3 linked regions of the Tamandua tetradactyla genome follow. The main gene of each other region encodes a partner of the protein of the gene in region 2 in a complex. Links are inferred from orthologs where the notes say so. Each region holds a gene or a part of one and is shown on either strand. Other genes may lie near its edges.

Region 1 (7,547 bases), on a different chromosome or scaffold from region 2:
TTTGTCAAACATTCAAGAAGAATTGGCACCACTCCTGCCCAAACTCTTCCGAAAGACTGAAGATCACTGCCAGGTCCTGCTCTGAGGTCACCAGCACCCTAATTTTACCAATGCCAGAAAAATATGCCACAAGAGAATTACAGACCAACATCCCATGTGAGTATAGAAGCAAAATTCAACAATACTGTGACAAACTGAACACAACAGCCCATTAAAGGAATTATGCAGCATAATCAAGGGGTGCTTATCCCAGGTGTGCAAAGGAGGTTCACATGAGAAAGTAATTTAGTGCAACACCATATTAATAGAATGAAGGAAAAAAATCACCTTAATTGACACAGAAGAGGCGTTAGACAAAATCCACCACGCATCTTGATGAAAACTAGGAATAGGGGGTTTATGTAAAAACCTGTAGCAAACATTATACTCAAGGCAAGGACACCCCCTGTCACCCCTGTACTCAACACTCCTGGAAGTTCTAGCCAGAACAACAAGGCAAGAGAAAAATAAATAAACAGCATACAAATTTGTAAGGAAAAAATAAAACTTTCACTATTGCAGATGACATGATCCTATATAAGGAACATCCTTAAAAAAATCACAACAAGGCTACTAGAGCTAATAAATTCAGAAAAGTGGTGGGGTACAAAATCCACATGCAAAACTCAGTAGTGTTTCTATACCATAAACAATAAATAATCTGTAGAGGAAACAAAGAAAACAATTGCATTTACAACAGCAACTAGAAGAATCAATCAGGAATAAATTTGATCAAGGATGTAACAGACTCACACACGGAAAATCACAAAACATTCTTGGAAGAAATCAGACTAAATAAATAGAAGGATATTCTGTGTTCATGGATTGGAAGATGAAATATTGTTAAGATGTCAATTCTACCCAAAGCAGTTTATAGATTCAGTGCAATCCCAATCAAAATAGCAGAAACACGAAAGCCAATTGTCAAATTCCCTTGGAAGGGTAAGGGCCCCAAGTGGCCATCACCATCTTGAAAAGAGAAGAATGAAGCTGGAACACGCACACTTCCTGATTTTAAAACTTACTACAAAGCTACACGGATCATGGCAGCATGGAACTGGCATAAGAATAGCTATGTAGACCCATGGAAATGGAACCAAGGGTCCAGAAATCCACCTTCACATCTCAGTCTCAGGCCAATTGGTTTTTGACAAGGGAGCCACAGCTACTCAGTGGAGGAAGAACAGCCTGTGCCCTCCATCTGCAGAAGAATGAAGGAGGACCTTGCCCTCACACCAAATAAAAATTAACTTGATGCGCCCTAATGTAAACGATGCACAACAGTTAATAGTATAATTATAATACTGTTTAATCTAGTTGTAACAAAGGAACTGCATTTGGGCCAAGTGTTAATAGGGAAAGCTGTGTGTGTGTGGCCCTATATGGGAACTCTGCATTTTCTGCATACTTTTTCTGTAAACCTACAACTTCTCTTAAAAAGAAATCTATTTCCTAAAAAACAAACAACCCAGCAGCAGCAGCACGTCCGTTCCTTGGAGATGGCCCGGGACCAAGCAGCCCATTCCTCCCTCCCTGCGACAGCTCTCCCTCACCCCTGGAGTGCTATGCTCAGCCGCTTCTCCCGCTGGGGCCCTTCCGGAACATTTTGCACCAAGCCTGTGGGATTTCCTGTGACCTGCCTCTCCTGTCCCCAAGCCCCAGAGACACACTTATTTTCACTGTTTCTTTAGAAGATGATGGCCCAATGCTGCAACACGCTCGCCCAGAGTCAGGCTCAGGGCTGGACAGACGCAGGCTGAGGCCCCCCGCTTTTCCCCGGGGTCCTAGTGGACGCCACGTTCATGGCTCCAAGGTGGAAATAACACACCACTTCCTCGCCTGTCCAGCGCCCCCACCCCAGCTCTGGATTTGACCTTCCCACCCAGTGCGGGTGCCTGCCCCTGGCGCCACTTTCAGACAGAAAGGAGGCACCCGCAGCTCCCTGGGATATGCAACGGAGCTGAGCCCCCAGTGAGGGGCACATCACACCTCAACGTCGAGGGCCAGGCCCAGGGTTTGGTGGCTTTAGCCCGGGTAAGGAGCCCGCAGCTGTTCGCACCCTTCTAAGGGATGCCGTGACCTGCAGGGAGCCTCCGGGACCAGAGCCAAGGGCAGACCCGTCTCTGCTGAGCCCGCCAGCGCCTCGTTTCTCACCTGGAAAGCTGGGACAAGGGCACCCCCCACACCCCCGCCCCAACAGGGTTGTCGGGAAGTTGGGCCCATCAGTACGTGCCTGAAGCAAGAAGGTGGGCTGTCTTCTAGAATCTTCCACTCGCATCCAGAAACCCCACCTCTGCTCCTCTGGCTGGCAGGGGCTGATGCTGCGTGTCCCCTGAGGCTGGGTGAGGGGAAGGGCTCAGCCCTGCTGTCCCTGCCTCTGAACATCCCAGGTCTGGCTAAACTGCAGATTCATGTGCAGAGTAAATGCTGTGCTGAGCCACTTTGTTCAACAATTGTTCCTGTCTGAGAGTGGGCCTCAGGAGCAAGGGGCAAGCTTAGGTTTAAGTTTATTTATTTTTAACCTGTCATTAGGAGCCTCTGAAAACATTCCCTGGAGTAGAGAGCAGCGCTGGGAGCTTCTCTTTCTGACACCGCAGTCACCTTCCCCCTGCTGGGCTGGCTTGAAGCTAACCTGCACTTGTCTTATCATTTCAATTGTAAGTTCTTCAGTGTTTTTCTCTAAGAGAAAGTTAAGCCTTGCGTCTGCAGACATGCGTGCCCTCGTGCAGGCCTTAGGAGAGCTGAAGGGTTAACATTTGCTCTGGACTTTTGCAGGAAACTCCGAAGTTGTTTATCTGTTCCTCAGTTACCCAGCTCCACTGAATCCAACCATCTTAAGCCACACACGTGAGGGAAAGGCTGCACACATATCCAGCATGAAAAGCAGAGTTTGCTCAGGGCCTTGTCTGGAGCCAGGGCAGCTGGAGGGTTTCTCTCCCAAGCCAGCCCCTGCCCTTGCTGAAAGGAATCACTGGAACCACGGCGACGTCCTCAGGACCCCAGCCAGGCAAAAGAGCAAAGGGCCAGCGAGCACGGGGCCCTGGCATAGCCTTGTCCCTGCTCTGAGAGGTTAGAGAGCATAACTGCCCTGCCATGGACCCTCTTGCCTGCCAGCCCCTCTGGGAAGTCCCTCTTTGGGGGAGCAGGCTCCTGGCTCCCAGCCCCAGCACCCCCACTCCTCACACCAGACCTCACAAAGGCCTTGAGAGCTGTTGCACAAAAACCACAACTCTATCAAAGCTGGCTTCTCCCCAGGGCGGGGCTTGAGGCCTGGGAGGCAGAGACAAACAGGAAGCCCGTCCTGCTCAGGGCAGGGGCTCCCGGGCAGAGTGGGGTGGGATGCTGCCTGAGCAAGCCCAGGTGCTGAGCCCACCTGAGCCCTCCTTCACTGCACACCTTCACTCCTCTGCTGTCCTCCAGGACATAAAGCAGATGGGGCTACAAGGCCGGCCACACAACGCTATTCAGGAAGATACCTAAGTGGAGAGCTTGGAAATAACGGTCCATAAAATGGGCCCCTGTTCATGACAGATGGTAGCATTGAGGTAATGTCTATGGAATGGGAAATTCACTTTGGAAATAAAAAAAAATGATTAGCATTTTTCAAAGCAAGAGGTTAGAAAAGAAAAATGACAAATTCTTTCTCTCACTCTCTCTCTCTGTGCAGTGCCTGTCTGGAAACCTCTGCAGAAGTTTCTAGTTTCTCTCCATCTCTGAGCACAGAGGGGCTGTGGAGAGTGGTTTACTCTTCGAGGTGAGCATATCACAGCTATAGGGGCAGCTGCCACGAGACTTCCTGATTTCAAAGCTTTGGAGCTAAGTTGAAACTTTTTTTTTCTTTCCTATTTTTGTTTTATTTTTTTCCCTGAGGGTTTGTGGAAATCAGTTATCTTGGAGCAGGAGACTCTCCAGAGTGAATAGTCTCCCATCCAAATTCGAATCTAATTTGGACAATGCTGCAGAGCCTCGGGTTGCAACTCACCTGTCACTCATTCATTTGATCAGAACATCTTTACTGACACCTGCCAGGGATTGTTCTAGGTGCTGGAGGCTCAGAAGTGCAGGACCTGCCCCCCCTCCACCCACACACACTTCATGACACTCGCTTCCTAGTTGGGAGGGGATAAAATGCGTGAATTAAATTACGGGGAAAGTAAAGTGGGCAGGGGGCTGTTTAGTTTCTTTAGTTTTCAGAATGTAGGTTCTAGCCAGGGAAGAGGACCGCTGAGCAGAAAGGGTCCGGGTCAGACTGGCCAGAGTATGGGGTCACGATCAGGGTCACGGCCAGGGTGTGGGCCAGGCCCCCGTCACAGACTCGCGCACCTCAGCTGAGGCCCCGGAATCCCTCGCTCCATCCTGCAACGTATCGCATTTGGGGGCATCGGGGGCGAGGATGCTGCCCAAACCTCGCGGGCTCGGGCAACCTAGGGCATCTCCCAGGCGCGTGTTGCTAGGGACGCGCTTCCGCTGTTGTCACGGCGGCCGCGTCGAGCGGCTCTCGCGAGAATCCCCGAGGGTTCTCACGGGAAGCGCCCGGCGGTTGCCTGGAGACGTTTGGCCCCGGCTCGAATCTGCGGCGCTGGAGTGGCTGGTGGGCCGGCGGCATGGTGAGGGGGGCGGGGGTGGGGGCGGGCTGGTGAGAGGGTCGGGGGGTCGTGCTGGGGATCCGGGGCCTGGGGCTTGCTGATGAGGGGGTCGGGGGGCGTGCTGGGGACCCGAGGCCTGGGGCTTGCTGATGAGGGGGTCGGGGGGCGGGCTGGGGACCCGGGGCCTGGGGCGTGCTGGTGAGGGGGTCGGGGGGCGGGCTGGGGACCCGGGGCCTGGGGCGTGCTGGTGAGGGGGTCGGGGGGCGTGCTGGGGACCCGGGGCCTGGGGCGTGCTGGGGAGCCGGGGCCTGGGGCGGGCTGGGGACCCGGGGCCTGGGGCGTGCTGGTGAGGGGGTCGGGGGGCGTGCTGGGGACCCGGGGCCTGGGGCGTGCTGGGGAGCCGGGGCCTGGGGCGTGCTGGTGAGGGGGTCGGGGGGCGTGCTGGGGACCCGGGGCCTGGGGCGTGCTGGGGAGCCGGGGCCTGGGGCGTGCTGGTGAGGGGGTCGGGGGGCGTGCTGGGGACCCGGGGCCTGGGGCGTGCTGGGGATCCGGGGCCTGGGGCGTGCTGGTGAGGGGGTCGGGGGGCGTGCTGGGGAGCCGGGGCCTGGGGCGTGCTGGGGAGCCGGGGCCTGGGGCGTGCTGGTGAGGGGGTCGGGGGGCGGGCTGGGGACCCGGGGCCTGGGGCGTGCTGGGGACCCGGGGCCTGGGGCGTGCTGGGGACCCGGGGCCTGGGGCGTGCTGGTGAGGGGGTCGGGGGGCGTGCTGGGGAGCCGGGGCCTGGGGCGTGCTGGTGAGGGGGTCGGGGGGCGTGCTGGGGACCCGGGGCCTGGGGCGTGCTGGGGACCCGGGGCCTGGGGCGTGCTGGTGAGGGGGTCGCGGGGCGGGCTGGGGATCCCGGGCCGAGAACTTGGTCCTCTCGAGATCCCTGTGGAAGAGCGCGGGGTCCGCCGCGTCCCAGGACCCGGCTTTCCGGGCCCCTTCGCTGCCAGGGGACCGGGGTCCTCCTCACTGAGGAGCTCCGGGAGTGATGCGGCCCACAGCGGCACCTACCCCCACCCCCACCCGACTCCCACCCCAACCCAACCACTCCCACCCCAGCCCTCTCCCACCCCCTCCCCCAATCCTCTCCCACCCCCTCCCCAACCCACCTCCACCCACTCCCACGCCCACCCCCACCCCACCCCACGTTGTGCTGTAGGAGTTGAGTTTAGAACCGGGCAGCTGGGCGGGAGGAGCTGTTGGGTGGGTATCAGCTGGCCTGAGCGCCACCAGGACCCCACAGCCGGCTGTGAGCAGCGCTGGCCCTTAGGTCCGCACGTCGGGTGACTTCCTGGAATGGATCCTCCAAAGGAGGGCCTATAGGAGGGCATTGCAACTGGGGCCGGATTTCCGTGGTTGTATCTTCCGAAAGCATACTGGAATGAGGCAAGCAGAATACTTCTACATGATCAGTAGTTTGTGAGGATATAAGTGAGTTTTCTTTTCTTCTCCACATTTCCTAAAATTTCTACTTAAAATTTTTGTATATTCATAACAAAGTTACAGAGACAGACACACAACAACGTGAGCTGCAGAGTTGAGCAGAGGGTTACGGGTGGTGGCCTCAGTTCAAGGGGACTTTTAGGGTGGAAGTGTCTTTCTCACCTGGTTAGAGTTGTTGGAACCACACACTTTGCCATCCACCTGGGGGCTCATTCCTCAAGCTCTCTAAACCAGGGTTCTTTGAAGGGGCTTTATGTTTGGAAGAAAGGAAGCCTCGAATTGCTGTCACTGGTCATTGCTGCAGATTTCTGTCTGTGCCTTTTGGTGTTTTTTTTGCTTCTCAGTGGTGGCTGCCACACAATGCAACAAGCCTGGTGGTGTTTCACAGTTTGGTATTGGGGTTCTTACTTTTTGAGCCACGTAAACTTTGTGTCCACCCCAAAGAAGTCTTTGGCATATTCCAAGGAGTGCGTGGGTTTGGGATGGGTTGCCGCTCCCTTCCCTTCAGGGATAAAGTGGTCTTTTCTGGAAAGGAAGGCGTCTCCTTCCTGATTTCCCAGATGTGCACAAAGGGGTGTATGTGTGAGTTCAGGTGGACCCGCAGTGCAGGTGGATGTGCTCCAGGTGGGCTCTTCTGGGGCATGAGCCAGGGAGCCTGGGAGGGACTCTGAGGCAGCAGGAAGGGAAGCTGATAGACTGCGCTACTCACTTGGTCATCTCTTTTTCAACCAAAGGCGCCCAAAAAGAAAGGCAAGAAGGGCAAAGCCAGGGGCACCCCAATTGTTGATGGGCTCGCTGCAGAAGAGATGAGCAAGGAGCAGGTGAGTGGGGGCTGCATGCTGCCCCTGATCCCAGGTTGTGATCGACACCCCAGGCTCCCCAGACCTCCTGCCACCACGCAGCCGCAGTCCACCTCCCCTCTGTCTGGTCTCTGCTCTTCTGCCGTCTTCTGTCCTGCCTCTCGCCCTCTCCAGGGCCCCTAGCAGCCTCTCAGTTCTCAGATATAAAACCTAGAATTTTAAAAAGTAATATAGTCACATGGGAGAACGTTTCTATAAACAGGTAGGAATTCGGAAGGAAATGTTTTTCTGATTAATAGTATTTTTAGTTTCTGCATTCTCTTTCAATCTTATCCTTTTGTGCACCTGATTTTTACAGTGTTGTCATCATAGCACATACACAGGTCATGTTCTCCTTTGTTTTATTTTCTGTTAAACATTATAGGAAAAAGACAGTGTGGAAAAAGAATGGTTTATTTAAAATCATATTGCCTCGGTCTGAGTGATCAGTTCTTCATTGGTTCTGGCCACAGTCCCAACAAGAGTAGCATCGCCAGGCACCCTCTTTCCTCTTGCTTGCACTTGTTTGTGTGTGTGTCTGCAGGTGTTATTGTCTCAACTATAATTTCTTTGTAGGAATTATTTTAAGCCATCTGTCCAT
Region 2 (7,358 bases):
CCAGTCCGAGGGCTGCCGGCACTGGAAAGGGGAGACAAGGAAGAGAGAGACGGGCGGAGAGGAGGGTTACTGCGGTGACATCCCACAGGGGGCTGCGGGGACTGGGTCCTGCGGGCAGCAGCAGCGAGGCTATCGGGCTGGCAGCGGTGCCCGCCGAGGCTTCTCCCAGCGGGGGAGGGGTAAGTACACGGCGTTGGCACCACCTCCGGGAGAGGCAGGAGGAGCTGGGCCCTGGCGGGGGAGGGACGTGCCCGGCATCTCTCAGGGGTGCCGCCTGGCAGGGTGGCACTGGCACCCACGGGTGACACAGGCGCCGGTGAGGAGGCCCGGCTCCACCGTGAGGCGCCAAGAGCCTCCTGCAAAGACCCGCCGGTGGGGTGGCCCCGGGACCCGCTCGCCCGCGGGGTGGCCTCGGGGCCTGGCGGAAGGCCGCGGCCCTCACCAGCGCCTGTCAGCAGGCGCCGCCCCCAGCCCCGTCGCGCGCCCCACGCGCGGCCTTACCGAGGCACTGTCCCACGGGGGTGCTGAACGGGTTCCCCAGCAGGAACTCCATCTTGGGTGGACTACACGGCAGCGGCCCGGACCCGCGTCCTGTCGCCGCGGTCTCCGCTGTCCCCCGCCGCGCTCCCGACCTGACTGACGCTTGCCCACACCCCACCCTCGGGAACGCCGAGCACCGGGCCCTTGACCCCGCCCCGCTGTTGCGGCCCTATTGGGCAGTTCCTTGCATAGCGCTCCTCCGATTGGCCTTCGCGAAGCTCCACCTACCCCGCAGCGTCCGACTGGGCCCGGGGCGAGCTGGGTCTCCGTCAGGCGTCTCCGTCAGGCGTAGCGGCACCTCCCCTTGCCCGCCTCCAAAAGGGAGTCTGTGCGTTTTGATTCATCTAGCTATTGGTCCATCTAAAGATTCCTGATTGTTACTGGGCAAGAGAAGAGTCAATCACACGTAAGGGGCGGAGAAAAGGTGGTGCTACGAAGAACCCCGCCCAAAGGAAGTTCTCATTGGAGAAACTTTTGTTTTCTCTGAGGCTGATTGGTGTTAAGCGTCTTTCCCCGCCAGAAGCTGATCACGTGGTCCATCAACTCCCCCCCCCCCAGGAAGTCCACCTTCTGACTTCCCTTTAGCAACCAAGTGGCTGCCTTTGGTTCCCCTAGCAACCGGGCGACGCGGTGCTGTGCTGACCCAGGCCTGCGGGCCGCGCTGCGAAGGTAAGAGCCGGGCGCCCAGGCGACGGAGGACTCGCCTCCGCTTTCCTCTGTCCTGGGACGTTTTGCCTTGAGGCGTCCGCCCGGCCCTTCTCGGCTGTGAAATGAGTAAATGCTAAAGGAGTATTTCCTCAGGGAACAGGCCCAGAAGGGATTTTTAGGGGTCAAGTGTTCCATACCCCCAGTCTCCGGCTCTGACCCCTTTCCTAAAAGGAAAAGCCCCAGTTCACTGATAAAATCCAGAATTTAGCATCATATCCGTCAGCTTAACTCGTATTAATTTATTTATTTTCTTCTTCGTATTCTTCTTCAGAGCTTGGGACGTGCTCTGGCTGGGGAGATGGACAGCCAGGTTCCATGTGGGCCTCTGTCCGTCGCTCACTGGACAAGTTCCTTCCCCTCCTGGGGCCTCGGTTTCCCTATCTGGGAAATAAGGGCACTGAGACTCCAGAATTAAGGGGACAGGGGCCTCCAGAGCTGATGTTTTAGATAATGGTAACTTGAGACACAGAACTAAGTGGCTGGTCGACCTGCTTCTTGTTAGTTTGTGGCCAGTGGGGATGATATTTTTCAGATCCAGCTGATCCCAGGTTGTTGTTTCCCGGGGCCCTTCTGGATCTGTCCCTTGGGAGGAAGCCTCTCCATTGACAGAGTGTAAAACTCTCCACCACCTTCCCAGCCTTCCAGCCCTGGTCTTCAGTGACAGCTGTGTCATCAAGCAAGACCGCAGGAACCCAGGTTGGTTGGTCAATTGCTGAAAAAGTCCCCTTGAGGAAGGAGTGTCTGGGCCCTGCCCTTAGTCCAGAGCAATTGGGAGAAACACTGCACTGTGGCAACGACAGTCCCCTCGATGAGTCTGAATTCAGTAAAGGAGCTCTCGAGTCTTATTACCTGGCCTCTGCCATTGAGGCTTGGGCATGGTTCCTTAACCCTTTCTAACTAGTTTCAGTTTTCTTATCTGGAGACCCAGGGTGATTAGACGTACATATAAATTAAGTTCCTAGAGAGCTCTCACATCTACATCTTACCATCAACCCTCGTCATTTCTTGCCTCCCTGCTCTTGCCATTCTCAGGACTGCATATTTTAAAATTAAAAATGATTGTGTCATTGTCCTTCATAAGCCTAGGATAAGAATAAAACCCCTTCAGGCCCCCCCGAACTCACATCACTTCAGCCAAAGTGGAACGTGTCCTGTTTTCCCCCACAGGGCTGTCACCATGCAGTTCCCTCTTCCTTCTTTCCTACTCCTCCTTCAACTCTCAGCCCTGTCTCCTCTGCTCGGGGGCGCTAACATGTGCTCTAATGGTTCCCTATACCTATGATCTTGGCATGCTTTGTGATGAAATGCTTGTAGGATTATTTGATTCACCTCTGCAAAAGAGGTGAGGAGAACTCTCTGTTTCCCTTACAGCACATAGTAGGTACTCAGTAAGTGTGTGTGGAAATGAACAATATCCAGCAGCTATGCGTGTGTGTTCTGCTGTTAATCCTCTTAAGCTGGCTCGGGAGGGAGGCCATACCTGCCTTTTACAGATGGGAGAGGGAAGGGTTGGACAGGTGGAGTGAGATCCCAAAGGGTGCGCAGTCGGGACCCCAGGACCTGCCTGGGTGATCTCAGCACTTGCGTCTGCAGCAGCCGTTCCTTAGTGTACCGTGACTGCCAAGCGTGACTGAGAGCCAGGTGCCCGGTCACAGGTGTCCGGCCTTGACCAAGTGGGTGATAACAGCAAGGTTTTGAAATCAGAAAGCAGAACCCTTTCTCAAAGTGTGGTATCTTTCTCTGAAAAAAGCACAACCATGTTGCAGATACCATCTGCTGAATGCAGCACATTAAAATCTCCCCCAAGGCAAATTGATAGTAAGTAACATAAAACCTTAAAGAGAAGCATTGCAGAGAAGTGGGGAGATAGAGAGAGGCAAGGACTGGAAATGTCTATGGGGATTGAATCAATCAAGCCCGAGGAGGAGGAGCAGCCAGTATGGAGAAACTGGAGAGCGGGATAGGAAAGGGACAAGGTCTTGGAGGATGAAGGCCCATGCAGGGAAGGGGAGGAGGGCTGCACCTCTTCCTGGGGGAGGATTGGAGGCTGTAGGAGGGTAAAGGCCCAGGGGTAAAGGTAAATGCCACCCCACCCCATCCAGAACTGGGGGGGCACATAGCATGCCCAAATTGCATTCCCTGGTGTGGTGGGGAGGAGGTGAGAGAACAGGCAGACGGTAGGCGCCCCTGAGGCCAGGCCCACCGGGTCTTCAGTGGACATCATCACCCAATGTCAGGATTCTCTCCAGCAGTGCCCAGTGGAACAAAAGCCAGGGGGCCGGGGCCTCCCAGGACCAGGGACCAGCAGGGCAGGTAGGACATGAAGGTCCTGAAGCCCCAGAGGCCCCGATGTGGGGGAGGTATGCAGGCAAAGGAAAGAGGTGAAAGCCAGGAGGGGAGAAACAGGTGGAAGGTAGGGGGGAGAACTGAGTTTCCAGAGGGCTCAGGAGGCAGAATCTGGGTGTTTCTAGGAGACTGGCAAGAGAATGTGCCTTCCTGCAAGGCCAGCCCTTCAGGACCTTTCTGCCGAGGGGATGGTGAGGTTGAGAATGAAGTTGGGGTGCCCCGGCTTCCCAGGGCTATTGGCTCTGTCCAGCCGGAGACAGTTGTCTGGGGAGCTGCCCTGCAGTGTGACCAAATCCACCAGGGCAGTTCCCCTCCTTTGTAGGGACATCTCAGCCAAAGCCCTTTGGACTGTAGCCACAGAAAGCCACTTACAGAAAAAAAGGCTGAATGCGGGAAGTCCAGCCCAGAGCCAGTTCCCAGCTGGGTCACCCATGGGGTCCTGGAATTGGGGACAAAAAGGCGGGCAGGAAGCCGGCAGCCTCGGCCCATTTCAGTATGCCTGTCCGTGCTGCTCCGGCTTGTTTCCTGGATCACATAGGCGCTCATCTCTGCTTCTCTGTACGTCTGCCACGTTCCCCTCTTGCTTTCTCTGCTGGATCGTGTGCCTGGCTGCCCCCAGTTCCCTGCCCAGCTCAAGCAGCCAGCTCTGACGCACATGCTCATACCACAGCCCCACGGACACATTTCTCAGGGGGAGAGTAATGGCCAGCTGGGGTCAGGCTCCGCCTACTCCCTGGGCAGCAAGTGTGGTGGGGGAAGGCGTACATGTGTGGCTGCCTCGAGAAGAGGGCAAGGCTCTCAGAGAAAGGGGCTGCCGGCTGGTAAGGCCGAGGGAAACTGGTCAGTGTGGGTCCTAGGAAGGGCAGACCAGGGTGGGGGCAGAGAACAGAGACCCAAGAGAGACAGGGCCAAGGACAGCAGTGTGGGCCCTGCGGCCCCGGTGAGGGTCATAGCTGGGCTCGAGGGGGATGGGCCCAGACGGCTACCAGGAAAGGTCTTGGGCAGCCTGGGTGGTACCCACTATCCCCCAGTGCTCAGGGCCAAGGGGGCTTCGGAGAGGTACCTGCAGGGAGACCCCAGCCCCACCCCGTCCATCCGCAAAGAAGGAGCAGATTGTGGTGCTTTTCAGGGAAGCGCCAGGCAGGATGAGCCGGCTCGGCAACTCCATGGAGCCAAGGGTGCTGGACGACGACCTGCTCAAGCTGGCTGTGAGCGAGCAGGGCCCCCGGGAGGAGGCCGGGCAGCTGGCCAAGCAAGAGGGCATCCTCTTCAAGGATGTCCTGTCCCTGCAGCTGGACTTCCAGAGTACGTATCCCTGGGGGGCCTGGGGCCCATGGCAGCACAGGGGCCGGCTGGGGTCTGAAGGTGCAGGAACAGCGTACATGTTTTTTTTTTTTTTTTTTTTTTTTAAAGGAAAGACAGAGAGAAGGAAGGAAGGATAGAAAGAAGGAAGGGAAACATCTTTTTAAACATTTTCTTGTTTTATTGTATTTTGTTTCTCCGTTTTCGTTACATGGGCTGGGGCCGGGAATCGAACCGAGGTCCTCCGGCATAGCAGGCAAGCACTTTGCCCGCTGAGCCACCGCGGCCCGCGCGTACATGTTTTTTAAAATGAGAAATTTCCCAGAAGTGGCTATAAAGTGCAATTAGCAGAGGGTCGTTAACATTTAAATCTCCAAAACAGTCCTGATTCCCAATAAGAACAGAGGAAAAGAGCAGCCGGACCCGACAGGCCTGGTGCTGTGTCCACCACACCAGTACACATTGGCATCCTGGGCGTGGAGGTCCCGGGCAGCCAGGGCTGGGAGTTGGGGGCTCGGGAGGAAGAGGAGGGTCTGACACTGGGGGAACAGCTTCAGAGGCTGGGCAGAGGGTAAGGGGTGTGGGACCCGGCCTCCCCCAGGGAGACCCAGAGGCAGACCCTGCCCCTCCAAATGAATAAGGAAACTGAGGCCCAGAATGTGTGGCTATCAGAGTAGTTTTTACCCCTTTCATTAGTGTGCTGTTTTCTTTTAAGGAGCATATTCTAGTTTTATAAGTTGTAGAAATTATAATAAAAAAGCAAATACAGAAAAAACAGGGAATGAGGCTTCTAGAAAAAACTGGGAGACAAATTTAGGCCTCTGGAATCATATGCGGTTAGTATTTGCTTATTTATACTTAGGGGTTTTCAGAACTCTTTTGGCTGCAGAAGTGACAGACACAAAGCCCTAACTGGCTTAGAAAAGGAAATGGATTGGCTGATGTGGCTGGGGCAGGTGGTCTTCCCACATGGCTGGGTCCAGGCGCTTAAACCGTGTCAAAACTCTGTCCCCCTCTGCTGCTTGGGGCATTTATCCCATCCCCCATGCATATATGGACACTTGGGGTTTTCCCGTATATTTCTGTCCCTAATGTCCCTGTAGGTATCTTTGTTTGTCGTGTGTACAAGTGCATCTCTGCAGATTCCTTGTCTGTGGGGTCAAAGGGCACAGACCTTGAACATTTCAGTGCCACAACTAAGCTGTGCTCGGACCCACCCACCAGCAGCGCACACAGGCCCGGGTCATCCTGCAGTCTCGATTCTGTCTGTCACCCCTCGTCTCTATCCTGTGCCCCAAGCTGAACCAGGCCCCCATCGGGTCCTCCTGCATCCCCAGCACACTCACAGGGGCCACGGCCTTCCTGTACCGGGGACCCTGAACAGCTAGCACAGCAGTCTCAGTCCTCGGGCATGTTCGTGCAGGGCCCCGGCCCTGCCACCGGCCGCGGCTGGCACCCACCGAGGCTCTGCCCACGTGGTTCCAGACATCCTGCGGATAGACAACCTGTGGCCGTTCGAGAGCCTGAGGAAGCTGCAGCTGGACAACAACGTCATCGAGAAGATCGAGGGTCTGGAGAGCCTCACGCGCCTGGTCTGGCTGGGTAAGGCTCCTCAAAACGGACCTCCCGCCACAGCGATGCCCACCGCCAGCCTCACTGGCCCAGGGCTCGCCGGGAGCCAGGGGCCATTGGTTTGGGGACCTTCTGCTCCTGCCCACTAGGGACAGCCACGGGCTCTGCCTGTGTCCCCCAGATTCAGAGCCAGCCTTGCCCCACCGGGCAGGTCAAACCAGAATGAGTAGTCTCAGCTGCTACTGCATCCTGAGCGCTTACTATATGTGAGGCATGTCCTCTGGGCTTTCCATGGGAGGCCTTGCCATCCTCCCTGCACCCCACTGTGGAGCCCGAGGCCACAGCGAGGAAGGTGGGGGGCATTGCCTTCCAGCCCCAGCCACTGACTCTGAAGCCCACGTTCCTTCCCTCCTGTCATCTGCTTCCCGCTCACAGGGCAGCCCATGGGCACACCCCTCAGTCTGCAGGCCCCTCTCGGCCACCCGGTGCTGCAAAGCCAGGGCAGCCCTACAGGCAGGCACGTGGCACCATTTCACAGACACAGAGTCACACAGTTGCAGCAGCCGAGGAGGCGGACACCCAGGCCCAGGGCCCTCTACCCACACCCACAGACACTGATCCCTGGGCTTGGCAGCCCGAGCCACGTCTGTCCACGGGTGCCAGGGTCAGCTCAGCCCCAGGCCACCCCCCTCGAAGGGCAGTGGCATGCAGGCCCTGGAATCGCCTTGAGGGCCAGGAAGAGTGACCAGGCCCCGCTGTGCCCCCATGCGGGTCTGCTGTTCCCCACCTGCCCACCCAGGCAGAACCTGAAGGCTGGACTTTGTTTCCCCCATTACCAAAGCTTACCTCCCCACCATTCAGGGCTCCTGCACCCGCAGACAGAAAAGGCG
Region 3 (7,485 bases), on a different chromosome or scaffold from region 2:
GTTCTGGAGGCCAGATGTCTTAAATATTTTTTTAAAAAATTGCACTTTGCTTCGGCTACAGTAGACCATATTTCTTTTAATATACAATAAGGTGTCTTTCACATTTCAACAAAGGAGGGAGAATGATCTTTCCTCCATATCTCTTCAAAACTCCCTGACAGGATCATTTTCCAAGAAAGCAGAGTTCTGTCTTGAAATGGTTTCCTGTTGACATTTCAAAACTGAGGCTAATAAAGAGAGACTTTTTATTAACGGCTCCGTTTTTAATAATGTTTATTTGGCCTGTTTTTAAAACTGTTCTGGAAATAGGGTTGGATTGTTGATCACAATGCCATTCCCAGTTCGAGTTATGTTGTTAGAGCTGGCTCAGCCTGTATTGCATTGACATGTGGCACTTTTCTTACTCCATTTCGCCTTCGCCCCAAACCACATCCTCATTCTGCACCTGAAAGTCGGTTAACTGAACACGTTTGTAAAGTAAGGGCTCGTCTGAGGCACGATACATGGTTTCTACACCATAATCTCTGTCTTTGCTATGTTATTTCAGACATCAAAATAACACAGACACTAATCATCCATGCAGAAAACCTCCATAGACTTCAGGATGAGGAGGACAGAAACAGGAATTCCACCCCCTTACATTCGAGGGCAGAAGGAGATGGTTCTGGAGGGAGAATAAATGAGAGACACGCTTCAAGACTAGAAGAAAAGTATTCTCCAGACTTGGAGCATGTGCACATGATACCTGACCCTGGGTCACAGTTGCTATAAGCACCTGAAAAGACAAGCCTGGCTCCTCTCTTTTCTCTGTAATGTCTGAAGGATCCAGAAAAGTACCCAGAAGCTGCCAAGGTGCAAAATAAACATGAATTGGCCTCTTCCTGAACCTGCCTGCTGCCCAGAGGAAGGACTGTTTATTTCCAGATCTCATGGCTACTTCAGCCACTCTGCTCCTGATGACAGGCAATTGACCAAAAATGTTGAGGAAGACAAGAATGGAGAGAGGCGTCTAAAGAAAGAGTCTGCAGGCCCCTTAATCCTCCAGGGGAAAGCCCTGAAGTTTCTTCTGTTTTCATTCTAGACAGTCAGGTGTCCAGAGATCCAGATGGCAGTGAGATGACAAGGCTCCAGAATGGCACAGGACTGGAGGGAGGGTAGGGGCCACCTGACTTGTCATATTCACTTCTCCAAATTTATTTCTCCAACCACTCATGACTCTAGCAAGATGCAAGGAAGTATACTCAAGAGGTAGGCAACCCCAACATTGCCCAATAAATAATTAGAATTAAAAATTAAGCAGAGTACCAAAAAAAAAATCTGCTTTAAAAAATAAGCCATGCCAGAAACCAGGGTTGATTCCCATGGCCTGCCCATGCCAAAAAAATTTTTTTTGCTTTAAAAATTAAGCGGACTGATAAATAAATGGGAACTCCTCAAAATTAAATACTTTTGCGCATCAGAGAACTTCATCAAGAAAATAAAAAGACAGCCTACACAATGGGAAACAATATTTGGAAACGATATATCAGATAAAGGTCTAGTATCCAGAATTTATAAAGAGATTGTTCAACTCAACAACAAAAAGACAGCCAATCCAATTACAAAATGGGAAAAAGATTTCAACAGACACTTCTCAGAAGCGGAAATACAAATGGCCAAAAGGTGCATGAAGAGATGCTCAACTTCCCTGACCATTAGAGAAATGCAAATCAAAACCACAATGAGATATCATCTCACACCCACCAGAATGGCCATTATCAATAAAACAGAAAACCACAAGTGCTGGAGAGAATGTAGAGAAAAAGGCACACTTATCCATTGTTGGTGGGAATGGCAAATGGTGCAACGGCTGTGGAAGGCAGTTTGGCGGTTCCTCAAAAAGCTGAATATAGAATTGCCATATGACCCAGCAATACCATTGCTAGGTATCTACTCAGAGGACTTAAGGGCAAAGACACAAACGGACACTTGCACACCAATGTTTATAGCAGCATTATGTACAATTGCAAAGAGATGGAAACAGCCAAAATGTCCATCAACAGACAAGTGGCTAAACAAACTGTGGTATATACATACGATGGAATATTATGCAGCTGTAAGACAGAATAAAGTTATGAAGTATTTAACAACATGGAAGAACCTTGAGGACATTATGCTGAGATTAGCCAAAAACAAAAGGATAAATACTGTATGGTCTCACTGATATGAACTGATATTGGTGAATAAACTTGGAATATTTTGTTGGTAACAGAGACCATCAGGAGATAGAAATAGGGTAAGATATTGGGTAAGTGGAGCTGAAGGGATACAGATTGTGCAACAGGACTGAATATAAAAACTCAGAAATGGACAGCACAATACTACCTAACTGTAATACAATTATGTTAAAACACTGAATGAAGCTGAATGTGAGAATGATAGAGGGAGGAGGGCTGGGGGCATAAATGAAATCAGAAAGAAAGACGATAAAGATTGAGATGGTATAATCTCGGAATGCCTAGAGTGTATAATGATAGTGACTAAATGTACAAATTTTGAAAATGTTTTTGCATAAGGAAGAACAAAGGATGCTGAAAATAGATGGTAATTAATATTTTAAAATTTCAACTTATGTGTGAGACTAAAGAAAAAAAATGATTATTTGGTACAAAATTTATATTTTGACTAGTGCATTTCCTAATATAACTTATGTAGATAGCTTGCTTGAACACCATAAGTACTTGGAACCTTGGGTAGGACATGGGATTTTGTTGGTTTGTCCAGAGTGATGCCCCGATGAATCCCAGAGTGATTTGAACAGTGAGTGGAAAAGTATTTGCAAAGTCCCCTTTGGGGAATAGTGAGAACGGGGAGAAATTCAACTTCCCCAAGTAGAATTCTTGATATTCTCACAAGCAGTGTGGACAACCAAAGCTATAGGCTAAGCCCCCAGTCTTGGGGTTTGTTCATATGAAACTTAACCCCACAAAGGATAGGTCAAGCCTACTTAAAATTAGGCCTAGAAGTCACCCCCAAGAGAGCCTCTTTTGTTGCTCAGATGTGGCCCCTCTCTTCAGCCAACACAACAATGAAACCCACCACCCTCCCCCTGTCTACGTGGGACATGACTCCCAGGGGTGTGGACCTTCCTGGCAACTTGGGACAGAAATCCTACAATGAGCTGAGACTCAGCATCAAGGGATTGAGAAAACCTTCTCGACAAAAAGGGGGAAGAGTGAAATGAGACAAAGTGGCAATGGCTGAGAGATTCCAAACAGAGTCCAGAGGTTATCCTGGAGGTTATTCTTATGCATTAAGTAGATATCACCTTGTTATTCAAGATGTAATAGAGAGGCTGGAGGGAACTGCCTGAAAATGTAGAGCTGTGTTCCAGTAGCCATGTTTCTTGAGGATGACTGAATAATGATATAGCTTTCCCAATGTGACTGTGTGATTGTGAAAACCTTGTGTCTGATGCTTCTTTTATCTACTTTGTCAACAGATGAGTAGAACATATGGAATAAAAATAAATAATAGGGGGAACAAATGTTAAAATAAATTTGGTTTGAAATGCTAGTGATCAGTGAAAGGGAGGGGTAAGGGGTATGGTATGTATAAATTTTTTTTCTGTTTTCATTTTATTTCTTTTCTGAATAGATGCAAATGTTCCAAGAAATGATTATGATACTGAATATGCAACTATGTGCTGACATTGTGAATTACTGATTATATGTAGAACAAAATGATCAAAATAGGAATGTTTGCATTTGCTTTGTGTTTTTTGGTATTTAAAAAAATAAAATTAAAAAATTTTTTTAAAAGTTAAGCAGACTGGAAACAAGATCAGATAAGAACATTAGAGGGAGCTCCAATCAACACTGTGCTGCAGGGAGCTTGGCAAAATTTTTTCTCAGAACCTCATTGAAAATCAACCACGTAAAAAGTGAGATTAATACACCAAGAGAGAAGCAACCCTTGTAAATAATCCCGTTAAACCCAAGCATTTTGATTTACAAAAATCAAAGCTTTAAAGACCAGCAACTTGAAGCTGAAACGAAGTTGAATGGCTTGCCCAGCTTTAGGAAACCAGAGGAAGGACTAGAACTCGCATCTCTTGTCTCTCCGGCCAGTCCCATTTTCTCCACACCCTGGGCAACATGGGTCCATCTCCCCTCTGTGTCTCATTTCTTTGAAATGGGAAACTCTCCTACCTGCTTCTTGCATCTCCCTTATACACCAGAAAAATGCTTTTTACTGAAGAGGACCTTGAGTTTTAAGCCTAATAATGTCATTTTCCCGATGGACCCTAGAGCTGTAAATTGCCCAAAATGGCTATCAGGAATCCTTTTTCTCCACATCAGCACAACACTATTATTTCTGATGTGTAAAGCTTGTAATTTGTATGTCTCCAAATTGCAGACTTCCTACATGGAAGTGAATCATAGCAAATTGGCTCCAAAGTCCTTTCTCCTCAAACCACACTTTGAATTTGGGAATAAGGAGAGGACTGACCCTCTGCAATCTTAGTGTTTTAAGCCGAGTGAATTAAAATAGCCCATTCTACCTTCCTGCGAGCTCTGTGTTTCCCAGTTGCCTGGACAACAGGCTGTCTCTAAAAACCCAACCTTCCAGTTCTCAGTCCTGCCCCCGTCGGAAATCTGCCACCCTGGATTGGCTCATGGAACGCTTCCTCCTCTTTGGGTTCCTGCTGGTTGGACTTTTTTTCTGCCCTTCCTCAAAAGGGTCACTCCGCAGGGAGACGCAACAGAGGCAAGAGAGGATTCTAAAGGTAGGAAGAGGTGGAGTGAGGGAGATGGGGGAGAAGCAGATACTGAGATTCATTTTTCTCTAAAAGAGGGTTGAGAGGGATGACTTCTGTGTAAAGACCCAAATGGATAGAAAAAAACAGCTCCATGTAAGAGTCCATAGAGACCAAGAACTGAAGCTTCTGGAAAGTGCAAGAAACAGAGTTGGAGACTAGAATTCCCACTTTCCTGGTGTTACCGGACAAAGGCAGTGAATTCTTTTCCCCAGTGAGTTCAATAACCAATTCCTGAGACACCGGGGTTGCAAAGACAGAAAATGTTTATTGCTAGGCAGGAAGCAGACCAGATGGCCTATCAGCCCAAAATGTGTCTCCCTGAACTGCAGTAATTCTGAAAGTTTTATAGTATCATAAGATGGGCAGATTTTAGGATAAGGAGCACAGTGGCCCCACATGATGTAATTAGAGGTGATCTGATTATTGAGCATGCACAGATTGATTACATACTTAGTCACAGAAGGTATGAAAGAAAATGGTGACTTTAATATGCTGATTGGTATTATAATTAGGTATCAATGACTTGTAGGTTAAAGTCTAACCTACTGCACATGTCAGGCAGGCCCATTTTTTATTAGCTCCACCTCCAGTAATCAAGGTAACTTTGGATTTTGATTGGGTTAGTTCTGGGCTGACCCAAGACTCTTCATTAATAAACATTAGGGGCTGTCTTTAGTGATAACAAGACTGGAGACTCTAGAGTCGAAAAACAGGAAAAATGGGTACACGTGACGGTTAGTCACAAATTTTTACAATCACAAAGGACACAAGATAAAGGCTACACATCATTATCAGAGGTCAAGGCAGCTGGATTCCAGTTCAGAGATTTCAGGTATTTCCCTCTGTCTACTCCAGTGTACTAGAAAGCAAAAAGGAATTTCTATATAATGATTCGGCAACCATAATCATTCCTTAAGTCCTAATTTTTCAGTTATACCAGGACTCTTGGTTCAGCCTAAAAGTCAGAAAAGCATCCCCGTGTCCAGACGTGAATACCAGTCTTCTCCTTCTTCTGGATAGCAAGAAGATGCCACCTAAGACCAAAGAAAAAGGGCTGAAAGCTGGGGCACAGAATAAGAAAAAGAATTCAGGTGCTGGTGAGTTGGGGGGGTGCCCCCCACTTCTCCATGCTCTGGCACAGAGACCAGCACCGGTCCTCCAGAGACTATTTGGTCCTCTGTATGATGAGATGGAGCTTTCTTGACCCTCCCCCCTCATATCTTCATATCCAGGTTCCATGGAGGTGGGAAATTGGGGAAAATCAGTCATTTGACCCCTCCCTTGAGTCCCTTCTAGCTCAGGTTCAGCTCTGAGCCTTCCGTATATATTCATCACATATATTTTGAATACCCACTCTATGCTAGGCAGTGAGGATGCAGTGGTAACCTCAGACCTCAGGAAGAAAGGAAGTCCAGAGATTGGGTGAGGAGGGGAGGAGAGTCGCGGGAGGAGGGTACTGAGAGCAAGACCAAGGGCTTGCAACCCTCTCCTCTGTCAACTTGCTAGGGCAGATGTGGAAGCCGAGTCCAAGCACAGGCTGGAAGTGCTGGAGAAGGAGTTGCTCCGAGACCAGTTGGGTAAGAAGGGCAGGAGCTCCAAGAGGCTACAGGGGTGGGGCAATGAGGTATTTCTGTTTCCACCACCTCCTCTCATCCTCAGGGATTGGAGGGTTGGAGCTATGGTTGGGGGTTAAGCTAACCTCTAACCATTCCCTAATGGGAAAACACTGTTATGAGTTGAGATCGTGGTGGGGAGGGGGTGGGCATTGAGGTTTGATGAGAGAACTAGGGAGCTATTTTTACAGCCAGAATGTGAGAAATTTTTGCTCCTTAATAGTGAAAAGTCTGTGAGATTCTGAGAGGAGGGGGTGGGTGGCACCCAGGTGAGAATGGGAGGCTAGATGCTCTACCTCCAAGTTTCTGAAAGTGGGCAGGGCCAGTCAAAAACACGGAGCTGGCTCAGTGGGGCCCCCAGTCAGATCTGAGGGCTGCTCTGGGACCACCCACAGCCCTGCGGAGGGACGAGGCCCGCCAAGCCAAAGCCTCTGAAGACCAGCTGAAGCAAAGGTTGCAAGGGTTGGAGGCTGAACTGGAGAGAGCCCGAAGTGAAGGGAAGGCCGTATATGCAGGTATGTGGTGGGTTTAGCGGGTGGGCAGGAGGCAGGGCTCTGGAAGAGAACAACCAAGAAGAGATACATTTGCTGTGCCCAGTCTCAGGACAAATGAGGCAGATCCTAAAAAACCCAAAGAAGTCCTCGGGGATCCTAGGCAGGGATCTTCCAGGATCCCTGATGCCATGTGCTTGATGCTTTGCAGGTTATGCAATGTAGCAATAGCCATTACCCCATTGATTCCATGGGAGTGAATGGGACAGCTTAGAATCCCTATCCTGGGCTGGAATGGGGAGAGGGGTTTGGTTTTCTCTCCCTCCCCCGGGTTTTCAGGGACTCCCAACTTCTCAGAATCTCTCCAGAGGAATCAAGAAGGCTTTTATGCTCCCATCCCACTGGACCAAGCATAAATCCCCTGGGCCCTCCTCACCTACAATTTAATCTCCTTTCTCCATTCTTCCATCCCCACTGAGTCGCTGCCCCCACCCCCACCCCGTCCCTCCCATAGAGATGACTCGCCAGTACCGGGCCCTGCAGGAGAAGATGGAGAACCGCAGCAGGTGGCTGGAGGAGG

What was found.
Region 1: DRC3 (region 2) and DRC4 share a complex: the UniProt entries of both Homo sapiens proteins name them as parts of the nexin-dynein regulatory complex. The link is inferred for Tamandua tetradactyla from reciprocal best matches to the Homo sapiens genes DRC3 and DRC4.
Region 3: DRC3 (region 2) and DRC12 share a complex: the UniProt entries of both Homo sapiens proteins name them as parts of the nexin-dynein regulatory complex. The link is inferred for Tamandua tetradactyla from reciprocal best matches to the Homo sapiens genes DRC3 and DRC12.

Annotation. Positions count from the first base shown.
Region 1 is NC_135342.1:84,095,913-84,103,459, forward strand, and holds the start of DRC4 (dynein regulatory complex subunit 4), read left to right. Parts: upstream 1-4,539; 5' UTR 4,540-4,643; coding exon 4,644-4,646; intron 4,647-5,968; exon of another isoform or gene 5,969-6,095; intron 6,096-6,841; coding exon 6,842-6,928; intron 6,929-7,547. UniProt on the Homo sapiens protein: Component of the nexin-dynein regulatory complex (N-DRC), a key regulator of ciliary/flagellar motility which maintains the alignment and integrity of the distal axoneme and regulates microtubule sliding in motile axonemes.
Region 2 is NC_135332.1:1,603,080-1,610,437, forward strand, and holds the start of DRC3 (dynein regulatory complex subunit 3), read left to right. Parts: upstream 1-4,340; 5' UTR 4,341-4,359; coding exon 4,360-4,415; intron 4,416-4,723; coding exon 4,724-4,899; intron 4,900-6,381; coding exon 6,382-6,498; intron 6,499-7,358. Other genes in the region: TOM1L2 (TOM1-like protein 2), read right to left, coding at 1-21, 502-553. UniProt on the Homo sapiens protein: Component of the nexin-dynein regulatory complex (N-DRC) a key regulator of ciliary/flagellar motility which maintains the alignment and integrity of the distal axoneme and regulates microtubule sliding in motile axonemes.
Region 3 is NC_135334.1:21,541,347-21,548,831, forward strand, and holds the start of DRC12 (dynein regulatory complex protein 12), read left to right. Parts: upstream 1-4,477; 5' UTR 4,478-4,657; coding exon 4,658-4,768; intron 4,769-5,732; coding exon 5,733-5,898; intron 5,899-6,312; coding exon 6,313-6,378; intron 6,379-6,809; coding exon 6,810-6,929; intron 6,930-7,419; coding exon 7,420-7,485. UniProt on the Homo sapiens protein: Component of the nexin-dynein regulatory complex (N-DRC), a key regulator of ciliary/flagellar motility which maintains the alignment and integrity of the distal axoneme and regulates microtubule sliding in motile axonemes.